3 linked regions of the Drosophila melanogaster genome follow. The protein of the gene in region 3 interacts with the protein of the main gene of each other region in a pairwise test. Each region holds a gene or a part of one and is shown on either strand. Other genes may lie near its edges.

What was found.
Region 1: the proteins of Cwc25 (region 3) and Prp40 interact in a two-hybrid assay, tested with the Drosophila melanogaster proteins (one large-scale study listed by BioGRID).
Region 2: the proteins of Cwc25 (region 3) and CG6340 interact in a two-hybrid assay, tested with the Drosophila melanogaster proteins (one large-scale study listed by BioGRID).

Annotation. Positions count from the first base shown.
Region 1 is NT_033779.5:3,021,266-3,027,474, reverse strand, and holds Prp40 (pre-mRNA processing factor 40), read right to left. Parts: upstream 4,250-6,209; 5' UTR 4,088-4,249; coding exon 3,681-4,087; intron 3,622-3,680; coding exon 3,389-3,621; intron 3,333-3,388; coding exon 2,284-3,332; intron 2,219-2,283; coding exon 1,853-2,218; intron 1,787-1,852; coding exon 1,706-1,786; intron 1,644-1,705; coding exon 1,359-1,643; 3' UTR 1,036-1,358; downstream 1-1,035. Other genes in the region: Sf3b2 (splicing factor 3b subunit 2), read left to right, coding at 1-136, 193-437, 501-870; alpha4GT1 (alpha1,4-galactosyltransferase 1), read left to right, coding at 4,526-5,052, 5,107-5,689.
Region 2 is NC_004354.4:15,480,429-15,487,647, forward strand, and holds CG6340 (uncharacterized protein), read left to right. Parts: upstream 1-1,945; 5' UTR 1,946-2,046; coding exon 2,047-2,109; intron 2,110-2,753; coding exon of another isoform or gene 2,754-2,770; coding exon 2,771-2,992; coding exon of another isoform or gene 2,993-3,247; exon of another isoform or gene 3,248-3,952; intron 3,953-4,101; coding exon of another isoform or gene 4,102-4,140; exon of another isoform or gene 4,141-4,464; intron 4,465-4,693; coding exon 4,694-4,840; intron 4,841-4,903; coding exon 4,904-6,013; 3' UTR 6,014-6,184; downstream 6,185-7,219. Other genes in the region: CG6324 (uncharacterized protein), read left to right, coding at 1-108, 185-293, 522-589; Gmap (golgi microtubule-associated protein), read left to right, coding at 6,814-7,047, 7,113-7,205.
Region 3 is NT_033779.5:2,743,294-2,748,083, reverse strand, and holds Cwc25 (Cwc25), read right to left. Parts: upstream 2,987-4,790; 5' UTR 2,886-2,986; coding exon 2,868-2,885; intron 2,813-2,867; coding exon 2,590-2,812; intron 2,528-2,589; coding exon 1,203-2,527; 3' UTR 1,140-1,202; downstream 1-1,139. Other genes in the region: Pgk (phosphoglycerate kinase), read left to right, coding at 1-773, 832-1,072; CG9961 (uncharacterized protein), read left to right, coding at 3,160-3,317, 3,372-3,480, 3,547-4,626.

The DNA.
Region 1 (6,209 bases), 280 kb from region 3:
TCCTGGCCTGAATGCTCCGATCCCAGACGGAACCTCGTTCGGTTATCATGCCGGAGGTTGGGGCAAGCCGCCAGTGGATGAGAACGGAAAACCGCTGTACGGTGACGTATTTGGAACCAACATATTGGACCTTGATGTGAGTGGCAACATTCGCGTAGCACTTCTTGTTTTAATGTCATTGTTTTTTTATAGAATGGCGTAGACGAAGCTGACATTGAACGTAACCAATGGGGCGAACTGGAATCGGAGTCAGAAGAATCATCCGAGGAGGAAGAGGAAGATGGCGAGGACTTGGGCGATCAGCAGGATGAGACTGGCCTGGTAACGCCAGTAGAGGGACTAGTAACACCCTCTGGACTCACCAGTGTTCCAGCTGGCATGGAAACCCCCGAGAACATTGAGCTTCGCAAGAAGAAAATTGAAGCCGAGATGGAGGAGTAAGTGAACTAATATTTTTAAAATAACATCACGATTAAGCCCATTATTCCAACTTCTCCTAGCAACGAAACTCCTGTTCTGTATCAAGTGCTGCCTGAGAAGCGCACCGACCGCATAGGGGCTTCCATGATGGGATCAACCCATGTCTACGACGTCAGTGGCAGTGGGGCTAACAAACAGCCCCCAGTTCGATCAACCACAGATCGCGAGGGCATTGTGGAACTGGCTCTCGATCCTAGCGAATTGGACTTGGACAATGACGCAATGGCCCAGCGTTATGAGCAACAAATGCGTGAGCAGCAGAATCACCTGCAAAAGGAGGATCTGTCAGACATGTTGGCCGAACATGTGGCGCGGCAGAAATCGAAGCGCAAGCGACAGCAAACGGATCCGGCCAAGACCACAAAGAAGTACAAGGAGTTCAAGTTTTAGTTTGACAACAAGAAATACAACTTTTCCATTTGTGCGATTGTCAAGGATGTCATTAAACATAGTAAAAACTACAATAAGTTCGCGTCATTCAATTTAAATGCGAGGATTTAAAATAGGTTCTGCAAAAAGTGAAGTTAACACAAAAGATCTTATCTTGTAATTTCTATCGTAATTTGTTTATTTTGATGCAGAATCAAAATCATTTGCGTATAACTTAAAATTTGACTCGTTAGGTTTAATTCTCATTTATACATTGAAACTTATTGAGACTAAGAAATTACAATTGTGGTTCGCTGTGTGGTTTGTGCTGGGACCAGGACAGTATCTAAACCAAACGAAGCAGAGTGCAGTGGAAGGCAAGGACTGAAAAGAGAACTTGTCCAGCAACTGAGTCCAGGGCTAGCTACCTCTCCCGATCCTCCTTAAGCTAGAGCTAGAGAGTGCCACACGATGTCGATGTCGGCTTTGACTCAACGCCTGTCAGCTGGTCACTCGTCGAGCTGCTCGCTGAGTTGGGCTAGAAGAGCCGCTCGCTTCGATTCCAGCTCGCCGTCACTTAACGTCAGCTCCTCGTTTCGCGATCCAGACGACTCGACGGACTGGGCAGGACTAAGGGGCGTGCCGGATCGATTGTGCCTGTTGTGTCGCTTGTCCTTCTTAGCTCGCTTCTCCTTCTTCTTTTTCTTTGCGGGTGAGTGCGAGTTTGAGTCGTTCTGAAGTAGAGCTTGAGTTCCCGGCGATTGAATGCCTGGAACATCCGATTCGCAGGAGGACTGAAATGTAAGCCATGTTAGATAGTATAGTTGTCCAAGGACTGGGCCGACTTGCTACGTACACCTCGCAGTTTGTTCTTGCGCTTCTTTTTCTTCTTCAGCAATTTTTCGCTCTCGATGCTGCCAATTGAGGTCAGGGAATGCTGTATGTGCGTGACGTTATTATTTAACTTACAAGTTGCATTTAATGTTATGTTTAGCATACTAACCGATCGTGTCTTGGAGCGCCTTCGCTTGGACTTCTCCACTTCTATATGCTCATTCTCGATGTCTGATCTCGAGACGGACCGTACTCGTTTTTTGTGCTTCTTGTTTTTCTTAGATTTTCGTGATCGCGAGTGATGATGGCTGCACGCATCTTCGCTTTCCTTAACAAAGTCCTCCCAGATCTTCTCCACACCGATTTCTTTTTCATAAAGGGCAAATGCTTCAAGGTGTTCTACCAGCTTCTTGGCGCTCTCATAGGGTTCGGCCACTGAGACGTTCGCCTCCAGCCATTCGTTTTTAATTTCATTTTCTAGTTTCCGCAACCTTCGCACCTCCTCTTTCATCCGTTCCTTTTCAATGGCCTCGGCCTGTAGATTATAAATACACAAATGAGTTTTATTGATATAAGGTTTTTTTCCCACTCCATAGTTACCTTTTCCAGCAGGGAGTTGTATGTGAGCTTCACATTTCCCGCGTCCAGGCTGGCTGACCGCTTATCTTCACACACGACCGTGGCAAAGTCCTCGAAGGATGTCTTCGCTTGGACAACAAATGCCTTTTCCTTGAGGATCTCCCTTATTATTTTTTTCTCATCATGGAAGCGGGCTTTCAGGTTTTCCACATAGAACTTGAAAAGATCCAGGGGTGTAGACCCGCTCTGGCCGAGCATAGCGGAGAATCGCAAATCGGCTGATATGATGGGATACAGCTCCACCCACAGCGACATGGAAGTGAGCTTTCCCTCTTCATGCAGGGAGTCGAGCAGCGCAAGAAAGGAGTCCCTGTTTTTGCGCTGCTGTCGCTTCATGCGCTTCTTTTCCCGCTCACGTTCCTCGTCCTCCTCCTTTTCCAAGGTGCGAATGTGCTCCTCGAAGACAATTAGGGCGTCCTCCTTGTCCATTCCGAGCAGAGTCACATCATTCTTAAATGCTACGTTGTCCAATAGCATAACCTGAGCCTCTGACCAGGTGGTGGCATGATTGATTGAAGTCATCGACTCTAGCAGCTCGCCCAGAACCTTCATGTTTCGTTTTTTCAGCAACCGCGCTTCTTCCTTCTCTCGCTTCGCTAAATTAAATATACAGTCCTCGTATATATCTCGCCGATCCGGTTCCGGCACCGCGGTCCATGTTCGCGTTCCGGCAAATACTTCTTCACAACGAAAATATTTCATCTGCGAGTTCATCTTATCGCTGGACATAAGGAACTGCTCCAAGTCCTCTTTTGCCTTCTTGGCTTTTAAGCGAGACTCCTCGCGCTCGTCCTTAATCTTCTGCGTCTTGTAGGCATTGAATGTTTGCTTGCGCTCGTTCAGATTTTTGAAGGCTGCGTATCGCGGATCCTTTGATATGATTTTCACACACTGGTCCCAGTTCGCATTTGATGGCACATTGCGGTCCCGCAGCAGCTCTTTAAAGGACTCGATGGCCTCGCGTTTATCCTTAAACACCACAGCGCTCTCTGACTTGTCGTCCTTCTTAGCTGCAAAGAAAGTCGTGTGACTTGGGCTGTATATTTTCAGAGTTTATAATATTTACCATTTTGTTGTGGCACCTCTATAGCCGCTAACGTGGCGGCCATGGCCTGATCCATCGCTGATGACGAGTTCTCGTTGCTGCTGGGTGTCAGCGGCGAGTGGATCTCAGGAGTCGGTAATCGGGGGGCAACAGGCAGGGCAGCGGGAAGAATACTAGCCAGAGCAGCAGGTGGCACCATGCCGGCTAAGCTGGATGATGTCATGGCTGCTACGGCTTTGGCGGCTGCAGCAGCTCTGGGTAAACAAGGAATCATATTACTAAGTGGCACGCGATGCACAACTAATTTACTTACTCTTCCGCCTTCGCCTTGGCCTTCATATCCACGTACTCCGGCGGCGGCTCCCAGCAGGTCTCCTTGGTGGCCACGTTGTGGTAGTACACTTTGCCCGTATCCGAGCGATACTCCTTCCAGGGACACTGGTTGTGCAGCAGCTCGGCGGGCGTCATCAGAGCCTCCGGCTTCTCCCACGAGCTTTGCTTCGTGTTCTGATTGTAATAGTATGGTCGTCCGTCCGGCGCCTTGTGCTCCGTCCACTCGGTGCTGGTGGCCATCACCCCGAAGGCGGCGGCCAGCTCCGGTGGGGGTGGGGCCCCAAATCCGGGTGGTGGAAACTGCGGCACGATTGCACCGGGCGGCGTGTAGCCTATGCCCCTTCCCGGTGGCGCTCCTCCATTGCCCACGCTAGGAGGAACATTCATTTCACTATTTTGCTATATGGGTAATGGGTGCACCGAGAGTCTACCGGTCGTTGCGTGCTGCGCCGGCCAATTCACTTTTCTTTCGGTAATTGAAAAAATCCGTAAAATTCTCAAAGCGAATGCCGCTTTCCACGCCAGAGATGTCGATTGTGCAATGAAACTGCCCACCCCATCGAGTTATCGAGTCCACACACGAGAACTGTCCACCCGGTAGATTTTCTGTTATCGATTAGCTTCCGCGGAACGATAACAGCGCTTTTTGTTGTGGTTCTTCGCTGTGTGCCTTTCAATTGTTAGAGTTTCCTTGTCGTCGAGGGCGATTAAGGAATACTGCCCAGCGACGATGTGGCGTACATAGAGTAAGAAATAGCTGAAATGTACAACATTTAAGTTAAATGATGCTTACACTATTTTTTGCTACCAGATCTCTCTGCAGTCATGCTCCTCTGGTTGCCCATTGCGGTGGCACGCAGGATGTTCATCATCCTCGTCCTAATGGTAATTGGAGGCCTCTTCTACATCTACACTTCGGAAAATAAATACCACTCATGCTTTATGGAGGGCCAAGTACTGGCAACTCAGCAGGCGCTAACTGCAGATGGCGAAACAAATCTATTGGGCGACGTCCTCCAGGCGGATCCCAAACCCTCGCCCGGAAACAGTATCTTCTTTCACGAGACCAGCTGCCGCCTATCCGAGAACAGACAGCTGGAGACGCTGAAGGTCACTGCCCGCCAGGCATGCGCAATCGAGTCGGCAGCGATGCATAATCCGAATTTCCAAGTGTTCGTCCTGTTCGCTGGCCCCACCTATCGAATCTCCAACAACAAAAGCCATCCCCAACCATTGTTGGAGGCCATTCTCAGTTACAGCAATGTCCATCTACGTCGACTGAATCTCGAGAGTTACGCATCTGGCACGCCCATGGAGGAGTGGCTCAAAGATGGTCGTTTGTCGCGGTCAAAGTGAGTTTAAAGACTCTCCCTAGTTATTACTCATTGATGACATTACCTTTCCAGATATTTGTTCTCGCACATATCAGACTTTCTCCGCTACCTTACCCTCTATCGGTATGGCGGTCTTTATCTGGACATGGATGTGGTGGTGCTTCGCAACATGGAGAAGGTGCCGCCCAATTACACAGGTGCTGAGTCCAACACCCATTTGGCAGCTGGCGTAATGAACCTGGCAGCCACTGGCTTTGGCCACGAGATCGCCGCGTCCTGTTTGCGCGACTTTCAGCACAACTTTAACGGCGGGGACTGGGGCAACAATGGCCCAGGGGTGATAACCCGTGTGGCTCAGAAGATATGTGGCACCAAAGACATTGCTCTGATGCGAGAGGACCCCAAGCGCTGCATGGGCTTCAAAGTATTCGGACGGGGCGCCTTTTACGCCGTACCGTGGAAGCAGTGGCGAGACTTCTTTGAGCCGGAAAACTTAGAAGAGACAATCGCCCGGTGCAAGGACTCGTATGTAGTGCATGTGTGGAATAAGCACTCGAGCAAGCTGCCTATCAAAATAGGATCTAAGAACGCCTACGCCTTGTATGCCGAACAAAATTGCCCGAGATCGTACAAGGCTGCTGGCGAATACTTCTAGTATCAGAAGGGTTATCAAGCTCTTATCATTTGTATATGAATGTTTACCGCTGCAAGCCAAAGTCGTCGCCCTGCAAAGGGGCCATTGCTAAATGTATCCCTACCTATTTGCTGTCATCCTGTTGGCATTAAGTTTCATTGTCATTCCAAGCGATGTCAGCTTACTCAAACGCACATCCGCAGCACAGTTCAAGTCAAATGGAATGGTTTTTTATTTTGCGATAAGCTTTACCTCTCCGATTGCACATTATATATATGTATTTAAATACTGATTGTGAATATAATTCGATAATATAAGCAAGCGAACAACTCACATAGACATTTATTGAAAGCTGTAAAAGTCGCTTAGAATACTATTTTGAATCATTGTAGTTTGTCTTAACTAAGTTCGAATAAGTTGAAGAATTTTGTACATACTATTTATCCAGGGAATGTTACTATCAACCTACAAATAAAATAGAAGTATTTAAGTCATCACAAACACAGTATCTTAACTCTATTTCGATAATTGAAAAATAATT
Region 2 (7,219 bases), on a different chromosome or scaffold from region 3:
CAGCAGACGCAGCAGCGTACGCGCAGCTTTTCATCGGAGATGCAAGAGATGGCGCGCAAAATGAGCAGGACATTACTGGGACATCGCCAGGAGCAACACGAGAATCAGGTAATGATAATCACGTTTGTTGGTCTGCAAAGTATATATGTATATCTCTAATATATGCACTTGCCTACCTCCTCAGCCGAATATGCGCTACTTAAAGTCTGGAGAGGAAGGACCACGTCCAGGACGTTTTGATGGAGGCGAAGAGTCGGGCGGACGCAAGCCAAATCGTGGTCTAAAGGTTGCAAGTAAGGACCGCCATTTTTATAAATTTCTAAATTTAATTAGGTTGGGTTATTGCACTTTTAGTATCGACAGCTTGTAGTATCAATGCCAAAACATTATTTGCATTTCCCACAGATTCATGCATTCTAGAAAGCTTTTTTTGAATTTTGTAAACGCTTAGATCAGTAGTATTTAGCATTTGAGACATTTAAGACTTATGTACACTTATATTCACTTTATTCGCAACACAGAGCGTCGCTTTAATAACAAAATGGAGTCGGAGCGCCAAGATAGTGACTCTGATGGGCGTTTTTGCTAGAGGATCGGATGGAAAGAAAGATGATCTCAAAAAACTGGAAGATCTCGCCTTGAATAAAAAAAAACTTCCCACCGCTACCCGGGACATCGAACAAGTACAGGAATTTGGAAATTTGAAAAATCTCAGAGGAACAGGACAACTTGAAGCAGAAATTTTGAAAACATCTATTTGTGGCCTAAATATAAGAGCCTTTTTTTTTTTGTATACCTTTGGAGACATATCTATTAACAGAAGACAGAATTGCATTTACACACATATGTATCTACATATTGTTGACAGAAAAAATAATTGCATTTGCACAGATACGAGAATTGTTTGCTAACAGAAAAAACAATTTCATTTACACACAAATCTATTGGTAACAGAAAAAAAAAATTGGTAACACAAATACGAGAATCTATTGGTAACAGAAAACGAAATTGCATTTACGCACGTATGCGAATCTATTGTTAACAGAAAACAGAATTACATTAACCATTTCATAAACACACCTGATAAAACCACCGAACATGCATCAAAATGCTTGACTCGTGTAAATATCGAATTTGTGTGCCATAAAGTAATCAGTTTCGTGATCAATTTCGTGATTACAATTTTGTGATAGCTAGTAATTAATCCATTCCCATACAATTTTAGGGACTAAAGCAAAACACAATTATATTTACATTTTTTATGCAAACAACTGATGATAATAAAATCTTTACTAAAAAAATAAAACAACTTTCAACCTTTTTGAATGTGAACAATTGTACGAATCTAAAAAAAGGGAAGCATAAGCTGATCTTCTTAATAACGTTGGTATTCAACGCTATTGCGAGGCTGCAGCAATACTTTCCTTCTCAGTGGAAGCTCTGGATGAGTTCCATGATCCATAAACCTGGCAAACCGAAACAAAAGGGAGCCCGCTTCCAACAGGCCGATCAGCTTTCTCCTTTCGATCTCAAAGGTGTTTGACAGACTAATTGCTGCCCAGATAGTCAGGATAACGGAATCGAAAAGGATTACTCCTTACAGTACCGTTTAGCAACTCCATGCCGTGTACAGTATCCGCCCATCAATGAGGCTTAATTGAAGCCAACCGAGGTACCTCATTCTTCGATCTCCTTTAAGGCGGGTACGAATGGTCCGAATTAATATGCCTTTCTATATATGCCTTTACTATATGAGTAATTAAGCTTAAAAAGCTAGTTTAAAAACACGCGCTTTAGTGTATTTGAAATGTGTTTTACCTATTTTCGTTTCGTTTTTCAAAACATCGGCTTTTCAAATATACCGTTATTTATCAACGGATAGTTAGGAAATTCTATCGATACTTCGAAGCGCGCTGGCCACACTTTTCATCTCTATCAATAGTTCCACCACTACTTTCTTTTTTAGCAATTGATTCGTTTTTTTTTTGGACGCACCTGCGTGCTTCAGCCACATTTTTGGCCTAAAACAATTTTTGGCCCCAAACAATGGAGGCCCTAGTGAATTATAGTAGTGAGGACGACCAGGAGGATGCTGGCTTTCAGATACGGGTAAATATGCCTACACCGCAAGGCCGGAAGCAGCTGAAAAAAGAAAGAATCATCAGAGCGCATTTTGTGTACACATACATCTTCATCACTTTTTTCTTCCTTGCGTATATGGGAACCGCGTGTGTGTCGTGTTTGTGTTGTGTGTGTGCGAATGCGCGGAAACGCAAAATAAAGAACTGATCCCATCAATTCAAAAAACATAAAAAAACGAGGAAAATTCAAAACCACTAACCACTCCAATAATACATTTCAAGTATGCTTTGGTAAAATAATGCCAATTTGCTGTTTCTTAAAAGTTGCAAAATTCCCTTGGCACCACAACAACTGCAGCATTTGCCGCATGCTAAATCCTCGAGAACAACAACAACTGCTAACTTACTAGAGCAGAACAACAATAACTATGTTAGCGGCAACAGTCCGCGCGGCAAGGAAAGAGATTGCCGTATTTGAGAACCGTGTGTGTGTGTGTGTGCTTGTGTGTGTGTACGAATGCGCGGAAACGCGAAATAAAGATAACTGATCCCATCAATTAAAAAAAACATAAAAAAAACGAGCAAAAATCAAAACCACTAACCACTCCAATAATATAGTTCAAGTATCCTAGTGCTTTAGTAAAATAATGCGAATTTGCTGTTTCTTAAAAGTTGCAAAATTCCCCTAGGCACCACAACAACAACAACAACTGCGGCATTTGCCGCATGCTAAATCCCCGAAAACAACAACTGATAGCTTATTAAAGCAGAAGAACAACAATAACTATGGCAGCGGCAACAGTCCGCGCGGCAAGGAACGAGAAAGAGAGCGCGAGCGGGAGAGAGAGAAGACAAAGCCGATGTCGCAGCAGCAGAGTCATAGGAGCAGCAGCAGAGGACGCATTGATGAGGTAAAGACTTGCCGTTGCACCAAATCGATATTTACTTCCCATAATATATACCAAATACCATATGCTATTGTACTCCATACGTATGTGTGTGTGTGTGTATCTGGGTTGGAGCGCAAGCGGATCTTTCATGTGCCGTTTCCTTCCGCTGCCGCAAAGGGCGACGCCATCGCCGACTGCGCTGCCAGCAGCAGCACTTACAGAGGCAGGCAAAATAATAGCACAGAGTCCGCTTTAAATCAAACGTCTAATGTATAGATATCAATCAAATCGAAACCGAGATCTTTTAAACTTTTGAGTTAAAGTTAATCCCAGTTGTATACATTGGCCAATTCACTTCAAATAAAAAAGAGAAAATGCCACGTAATGAATGAAAAGTACTTGTGCCAAAAAAACAGGACACTGCATCAAATCAATAATGCAGCCTAGTTTTCAGTGCCTCCATTCCTTTACGCCAGCAAAAGTAATAATTCTATACATAGGCAAGGTCATTGGCAGCAGTACTTCATTGTTAAAACTAAATTAATGGAATGTTAAAACACAATAATGCATGCAGTCCATTCCCCACTGGTTCTATAGTTTATATTGCAATTAAAGAAAAGAACAGATTCACAATCTTTTCTTGTAGTCTTGTAGTTCAGCTTTACTTCGGTTATCATTGATTAATACTTCCATTAGTTACAGATATAAATCGCAGATCTTGTTAGATTCTGCATCTTTAGGGGCTTCAGGCATTTTCTTGTGCTATTATTTAGTCATCTGCTGTTCCCAACTGAAAAATTCAATATTCATATATTTATGTATATTGATCTCCACGATCGACTGCATGCGCTCCAACCCGTTACATCCAAATTTCGCTACTGCCAGATTTATATGGGCCAAAAACTCAAAATTAAATCCAAAGACAGAAAATTCTGTTTGTTCGGTCCGCTTGCGATTTACACACACATTGTTGTTGTTGTTGTTCGGCCAGCTTAGTTAAGTCTACAAACTTTATATGCCAATCAATATTTAAATGACTAAACTCTACCATTTTATTATCATTGTTATTGTTGTTACGTAAACGAAACCGAATCGAACCAAAACGAAAAACCATTTTCCAAACAAACAAGTCAAAAACAAAAAACGAAAACAAACCTGACCGACGATAATTGACGATAGCCCGATCGTAGTAATCGCTCGATTACCAATAGCTTCTTCGATAGTGCGACAATCGATCAAATTTGTTATGACCACCACTGTGTGTGTAGTCCTGTGTGCGACTCTGTGGCTGTGTTGGTGGGTGTGTGTGAGCCACTGAAAAAGGTAAAAGCAAATAGAACGATCACACTCACCACACACATGCCCGCCCGCACACACACACACACACACAACCACCCACCCATCCACCCACTCACTCACTCACTGGTGGCGCGAAAGCGAGAGAGAGAGAGAGAGAGAGAGATAATGCGAAAGAGAGATCAAGGCGCACGAAAGTGAGTATACAAAAAGCGATCAAATAGAACCTAACAACTCTCTAAGCAATCTAGGACACCCCGGAAAGGACCCCAGCTGGTGGCCCACAGCCCGAATCCTCTTTCTATTTCCCCTCCAGCATCCTAAGCATCTAGCAACTAGACCTAGATCCTTAGTCGCCGGCGCAGATTCGTAGATCCATACGCTCTAATGTAATTCTCCTCAATGTGTTGCTTCATCCCGTTCCAGGAGCCGAAGCCCAGCAGTCGCCACCGCCAGGAGCGGGACAAGGACAGGGAACGGGACCGCGACCGCGAACGTGACAGGGACAAGGACAAGAAGCGCAGCGATTCAGAACGCAGTCGCGACAAAGGACGCGACAAGAATCACAGCAAGGTGAGACAGAGTCCTAATCAACTCAGCATAACTCAGCCAAACTAATGTCTGTGCTATTTACAGGGCGACCATCGCCACCATCGTACCAAAGACGGCGACAGCCACAGAGAGCGGGAGCGGGATCGTGACCGGGAGAGGGAGCGAGATCGCGACAAGGATCGGGACCGTAGGCGTTCGGAGAAGAGCAGTCGCCACCACAGTGGCAAGGAACGCCATCATCATCATCACAACAACTCATCGTCAGCCGCCGCTGCAGCGGTCAGTGCAGCATCAGTCCGTCGATCCCATGATGAACGCAGTCGTCGTCGCCGGGACTCTCGATCCGGTTCCCGCACACCAACGGGCACGCCGCCCTCTCGTCGCCGCCATCAGTCGCAACAGTCACGCAAATATCGCGAACGCGACTCCAGCAGCCGCTCCAGATCTCCGAAGGAAGAACAAGCCACAACACTTCGCGGTGGAGCTGTGGCCGGATCTCATATGCTGCTCGCTAAATCAGGCGGCGGAGCAGGATCAACGGCAACTAATGCAACAGCAGCGGCGAGGGTTGCAGCGGCCGCTCTGGTAGCTGCCAATGCAACAGCCGCAGCCATGGCAGCCGGTTCATCCGGCGGCGGTGGCGGCGGTCTCCTGCCCACGCCCAACTATGCGCCCAAGATACCCTCGCTGATGTCCTTGGAGCTGAGCACACCAGCGGCAGCAGCACCAGTCGCAGAACCCATCCAGCTGCCCAGTTACTACAATCCGAGCATCATCAATGCCAATCGCTATGCGGAGCAGCAGCAGAAGCGCAAGCTACTGTGGGGCTCCAAGAAGAGCGAGAACTCGGCGAACAAGTGGGGCAACGCGCACTTCTCCCAGGACTCCGACGGCAAGGTGGCCTCCAAGTTTATGCGGCTCATGGGTATCAAGAACGCTGGTACGTCCGGCAATGACGATGGCAAGGGCGGCCAGGCGGAGTCCACCAATGGAAGTGCAGCAGGCGAGGGAAACCGCGCAGTAAGAGGTGCTGCGCCATCGGGAGCCGCTGGCGGAACGAAAGTGCCCACGGACGTGCAGCAGCGCCAGCGCATGTTCTCCAACATGGAGCAGCAGTACGAGATGGCGCGAGCCGCCACACACACGATGCGTGGCGTGGGGCTTGGTTTCGGCTCCCAGCCACGTACTTTCTAGAAGGGATCGGAACGGAGGAGGATCGGCTCCCTGCCAGGCTGTAAATACCATGCCACTCACTCAACTCATTAGTCAGTCAATATGTTTCTCCTCAACAACTTTTTGTTTGTGTTGAGAAAATTTTTTGTTTTTTTGATTTCAAATAAACGTTGCAACAGAATTTATGAAGTGACGTGGCTCTCTCTTTGGATTTGCTTGGGATAAATGCGTCGTTAGGTAGACTTTTAGTCTACACTATTACTAAGTATGCTAAGAGTATCCAACTTTAACTACAAAGTTCAGCGGCTCTAATCGAAGAATGCTTGAATATTCAATAATAAATAAAGGTATTTTTTTTTACAATAAACAATTTTAAATTTTGGCACTCTGTTTAGTAGATGTCAGTTTTTTGCCATGCACCTTGGCGGTCGGTCTGCCTATCGCCAATCGATAGCTGACCAAAAACAATAACAATAACAAAATCAGCTGACGATAGGACGTCGGATATCGATACCATATCACAAACTAATAATAAAAATAATAATAAATAAGAGAATTAATACTACTAGAACACAAACAAAAGCATATAAAGCTTACACATCCTTTATTAAAACAAACAGCCAAATTGGATTTAAATTGTGGAACGAAGCAAACAGAACCGCTTGAGTTTGTGCCACTGCCACGCAAAAAAAATTATCGTTTCCAAAAAACTAAGCATACTTCATCCGAAATTAGCAATCAGCTAGCCAAAAGCGGAGTGATCTCGTCGAGAAGAGCCACGCCCCCTATCCGCCCACGCTGCCCAGAAGAGAGCAGCGAAGATGTCGTGGCTGAACAGCAGTCTCAGCCAGCTGAAGGGCCAACTAACCAATCTGGCGCAGGAAGTTCTGGCCGAAACGGCAGGACCCGGCGACTTGGAGTATGAGGGACATCAAGCAGGAGGTGCTAGCGTCCAAGACGCCGAGCAGCAGGCCAAGACAGCCCTGGAACTGCTGGCCGAAACCCAGGAGCAGAAGGAGCAGCTGGACAAGCGGTGCGAGGAGAAGGATCGTGAGGTAAAGCCAACTCACAGTCACTTTTGCGGCTTCTTCACCAATGGCCATCCGATTGCCCCTTTCAGATAGCCGCCCTGCGCCGAGAACTGGCCAAAAGCAAGCAGAAACAGGAATCCCAGCTGGCAGCCAGCACATCAGCTACGCGGGAACCGCAGTTGGTAAGTGACGTTTG
Region 3 (4,790 bases):
GTGGCCGCTGAGCTGAAGACCCTGCTTGGCCAGGATGTGATCTTCCTAAGTGACTGCGTCGGCAGCGAAGTGGAGGCCGCTTGCAAGGATCCCGCACCGGGATCCGTCATTCTGCTGGAGAACGTCCGCTTCTACGTGGAGGAGGAGGGCAAGGGCTTGGATGCCAGCGGCGGCAAGGTCAAGGCCGATCCTGCCAAGGTCAAGGAGTTCCGTGCCAGCCTGGCCAAGCTGGGCGATGTCTATGTCAACGACGCCTTCGGCACTGCCCATCGCGCCCACAGTTCCATGATGGGCGATGGCTTCGAGCAGCGCGCAGCTGGTCTGTTGCTGAACAAGGAGCTGAAGTACTTCTCGCAGGCCCTGGACAAGCCACCAAATCCCTTCCTGGCAATTCTCGGTGGCGCCAAGGTGGCCGACAAGATCCAGCTGATTGAGAACCTTCTGGACAAGGTCAACGAGATGATCATCGGTGGCGGCATGGCCTTCACCTTCCTGAAGGTCCTCAACAACATGAAGATCGGCGGTTCCCTGTTCGACGAGGAGGGCTCCAAGATCGTCGAGAAACTGGTGGAGAAGGCCAAGAAGAATAACGTGCAGTTGCATCTGCCAGTGGACTTTGTCTGCGGCGACAAGTTCGCCGAGAACGCTGCCGTCAGCGAGGCCACCGTGGAGGCCGGAATTCCCGATGGACACATGGGTCTGGATGTGGGTCCCAAGACCCGTGAGCTCTTCGCGGCACCCATCGCACGCGCCAAGCTCATCGTGTGGAACGGGTAGGTGTCACACTGAAGCTACTTCTCCAAATGTCCTATAATGGTTTTCCCATTTTAGACCCCCCGGTGTCTTTGAGTTCCCCAACTTCGCCAACGGCACCAAGTCCATCATGGACGGCGTGGTGGCCGCCACCAAGAACGGCACCGTCTCCATCATCGGCGGCGGCGACACTGCCTCTTGCTGCGCCAAGTGGAACACGGAGGCACTCGTCTCGCACGTCTCCACCGGAGGCGGCGCTTCGCTGGAGCTCCTGGAGGGCAAGACACTGCCAGGCGTGGCTGCATTGACCAGCGCCTAAGCGTACATATATACGGTATATTAATGTTAATCGCATCGTTTACCTTGTAAGCACAAACCACGACGTTAAAAAGTGTTGAATCTATTTGTTGCGGAACCATATAATGCATACGAAATAAAGGAATCCTAGTTTATTTGCGGGCAAAGTTGCTGTCCATTGAGGAGGCGGTGCGCTGTATGTTGTTGAGATTGGCCCGGATGCGATCGCCAATTGAGTTATGGTTGGCAATGGCCTTCTTCACCTCCTTGTTAATGAACTCCTTGTCGAAGTCTCGTTCACGATTTTGGGCCTCCTCGCGCGCGTATGCTTCTCGGTGCTTGCGAACCACCTGGCTGCGATCCGCTTCTCTCCAAGTGGCGTTGTCCATCATTTCGCGCAGGCGAGCTTCTCGGTCGGCTTCGCTTAACTTTGGCTTGCCGGTGGGACGGCTGGGAGGCGGTCTTTCGGCAATCCTTCGCTTGTCATCTCCTTTGGAACTTCGGCTCCTGCTGCGTTTTGATCTGGAACGCTCTTCAGGTGTCCTACTCCTGCGTTTCTCGCGCTGCTTTGAAGTGTCCTTGCTTTGACGTCTGGCTTTTCTGTCCTCTGGGCTCCTGGTTCTTCTCTGTCTTCTCGCTAAGGGACTTCTGCTCCTGCTCCTGCGCCTTTCCCTTCTCTCTTCTGGACTCCTTTGCCTTTGCCTTTGTTCCGGACTTCTACTCTGTCGCTTTTTTCTATCCCGGGGGCTTCTACTCCTGCGTCTTTCTCGCTGATTTCTGTCCTCTGAGCTGTGGCTCCTTTTGTGCTTTCTCCTTGGCTCTTCCTCTTCGTCACTACTTTCGTCACTGCTATCGCTGCTTTTCTTCTTCTTGGATTTCTTGCTCTTTTTCTTCTTGGTGGCCATGTCTAATTGATTTGAAATGGTGCGGTACTTGGCGTCCAGCAGCTTGTCCAGTTTAAGGTCACCTTGGTCTCCCTTGAGTTTGCTCACTTGGCGGGCTAATTTTCTGTCCAAGTCATCGTCGCTATCATTGCTCTCGCTGTCACTACTTTCCTCATTGCTGGATCGTCGGTTCTTCTTCTTCTTTTTGGATTTCTTAGACTTTTTGTTCTTCTTGTTCTTCTTCTTTCCCTCTGCGGCCTTTTGTTCCTGTTCAGTCTTGAGAATGCGATGGATTTCCTTCAGCTTGACGGGGTTCTCAAGCAGCTTTCGACGGGATTCCATTTCGCGCTGCTTGATGAGCATCAGGGGATCCTCGAGGGTCTTGCGCTGTATGTCCACCTGTTCGTTGGACTGCACATTGCGGTAGGTCCGGATGGAGAAGGGCACACAGTCGTGCTCCACATGGTTGATCGTTTGCTTGAGACCCACTGTGTTCTGCTCCTGGCGGCTTTCCTCCGCTTGCAGCGTCTCAAAGGACTTGTCGATCTTACGGCCCAGGAGGTACTCCTCGCGGTTGATCAGCTCTGTGCTGTCTGGAGCAAGATAAATATGTATGGATAATGAGTTTTATAAGAGTTTCACATGTATGACTCACTTTTGTACATCCACTCCAGCTTGGCCTCGCCGGCGGCTCCGCCATTATTGCTCAGCACTCCGGAACTTTCGCCCAATCGCCTTAGTTCCTCTCTGTCCCGCTCCTCGTTGATCTCCTTGCGCAGATCCTGCAGCTTGCGCTCCTCCATCTTCGCTTGCTCCTCCGCCTTCCAAACGCGCTCCTGGTTTTTCATCGTGTGCGGATGCCATGATTTCTTCAGATTCTGCGGGAAAAATCAATGGTAATTGACGGATAATCAGTTGGGAGACATTACTTACTAGATCTCCGCCACCCATCTTGGGTTTGATTTGCGTTTTAACAGCAAAACAAACAAATTACAAACAATTCCAGATTTTCCCTCCTTTTCTGTTGTTTTCAACAAAATCATATGTTCGCCCGGGCTGCCAGATCGTGGTGAAGTAATTTAACTTGGTGTTGCCATAGGGTTACATTTTTCTTTTACTTTTTCGAAAATTATTGAAAATAGTTAATTTAGTTACTTATTTTCATAATTACTTCCTCATCGTGCATTGTATTTTCAGTCAAAAACAGGTAATAAATTTATTTAATATGCTTCCAATTCGGCAGAGTTTATACCAAAGAGCTCAAACTCGATTTACAAAATTAAGATTTCCAAGATTTTTTAGCAAAGACGATTGCAATGGAAAGCAAGTAAAGAAGTTGAGCTTAAAAAATGTAGATGTGGCTGGGAAAAGGGTTTTTATGAGGTGAGTATCCTTGCCAGATATGTTTTAGTGTGTGATTTATAAATTTATTTTTAGAGTGGACTTTAATGTACCCATGAAAGATGGCAAAATAACCAACAACCAACGAATTGTTTCCGCACTTCCCAGTATTAAATATGCCTTGGACAAGAAATGTAAGTCCTTGGTGAGTTGATATATCTTCCTTCAATTCCTAAAAAGTATAGAACGAATAACTTAATTTTTTGCCTAGGTTTTGGCATCCCACTTGGGGCGTCCGGATGGCAAAAAGAACAAAAAGTTTAGCCTGGAACCCGTGGCCAAGGAGCTGGAGAGTGTGCTGGGCCAGCCGGTTCAATTCCTGGACGACTGCGTGGGTGATAGCACCCTGAGAGCTTTGAAGGATCCCTCCGACGGCACTGTGTTCCTGTTGGAGAATCTTCGTTTCTATGCCGAGGAGACGGGCAGCAGCAAGGACGATAACAAGAAGAAGGTCAAAGCAGATCCCGCGAAGGTGAAGGAATTCCGAGCCAAGTTGGCGCAGCTGGGCGAGATCTATGTGAACGATGCCTTTGGAACAGCACATCGTCCGCATAGTTCCATGATGGGCGATGGCTACAAGGTGCGAGCGGCTGGTTTCCTGCTGGACAAGGAACTGGAGTACTTTGCCAAGGTTCTCCACGATCCGGCCAAGCCCTTTTTGGCCATTCTGGGTGGCGCCAAGATAGCCGATAAAATTCCACTGATAACGAACCTCCTGAACAATGTAACGGCCATGATCATATCCGGTGGCATGGCCTTCACCTTTCTCAAAGTGCTCAATGGCATGGAGATTGGAAAGTCCCTCTTCGACGAGAAGGGATCCGAGTTGGTCAACGACATAGTCTGCAAGGCGAAGGAGAAGGACGTGAATATACTATTTCCGATTGACTTTGTCATAGCCAATAAGATCGACAAGGAGCCGGATAAAGTGGAACATGTGGATGCCACACAGGGCATACCGGAGGACATGATGGGTCTGGACCACGGCCAGGCATCCAGTCAGATGTTTGCTGGCGCTATTTGTGCATCCAAAACCATCGTCTGGAACGGACCGCCAGGCTTGTTCGAAAACGAGCTATTCTCCAAAGGCACCGAGTCCATGCTGGAGGCAGTAATCGGGGCCACTAACCGAGGAGCCACCACAATCGTTGGTGGTGGGGATACGGCCACCGCTTGCTTGAAGTTCGGAGGCGCCGACAAGGTCTCGCATGTGTCCACCGGTGGAGGAGCTTCCCTGGAGTTGCTGGAGGGTAAGGTTCTGCCTGGAGTGGCTGCTCTTTCGGATGCCTAAACGCACTGCTTTACAATGGTTATTCCACTTATATGTACATGTATCTTAAATTCAATTTGGACAATTTAAACAATCAGTCTCTCAAAATACAAAGTTATTTTTATTGTGGAATAACATTAGTCGGTTAAAACGTGATAAAAGGGCGGGCCTCGATCTCGTGCAGC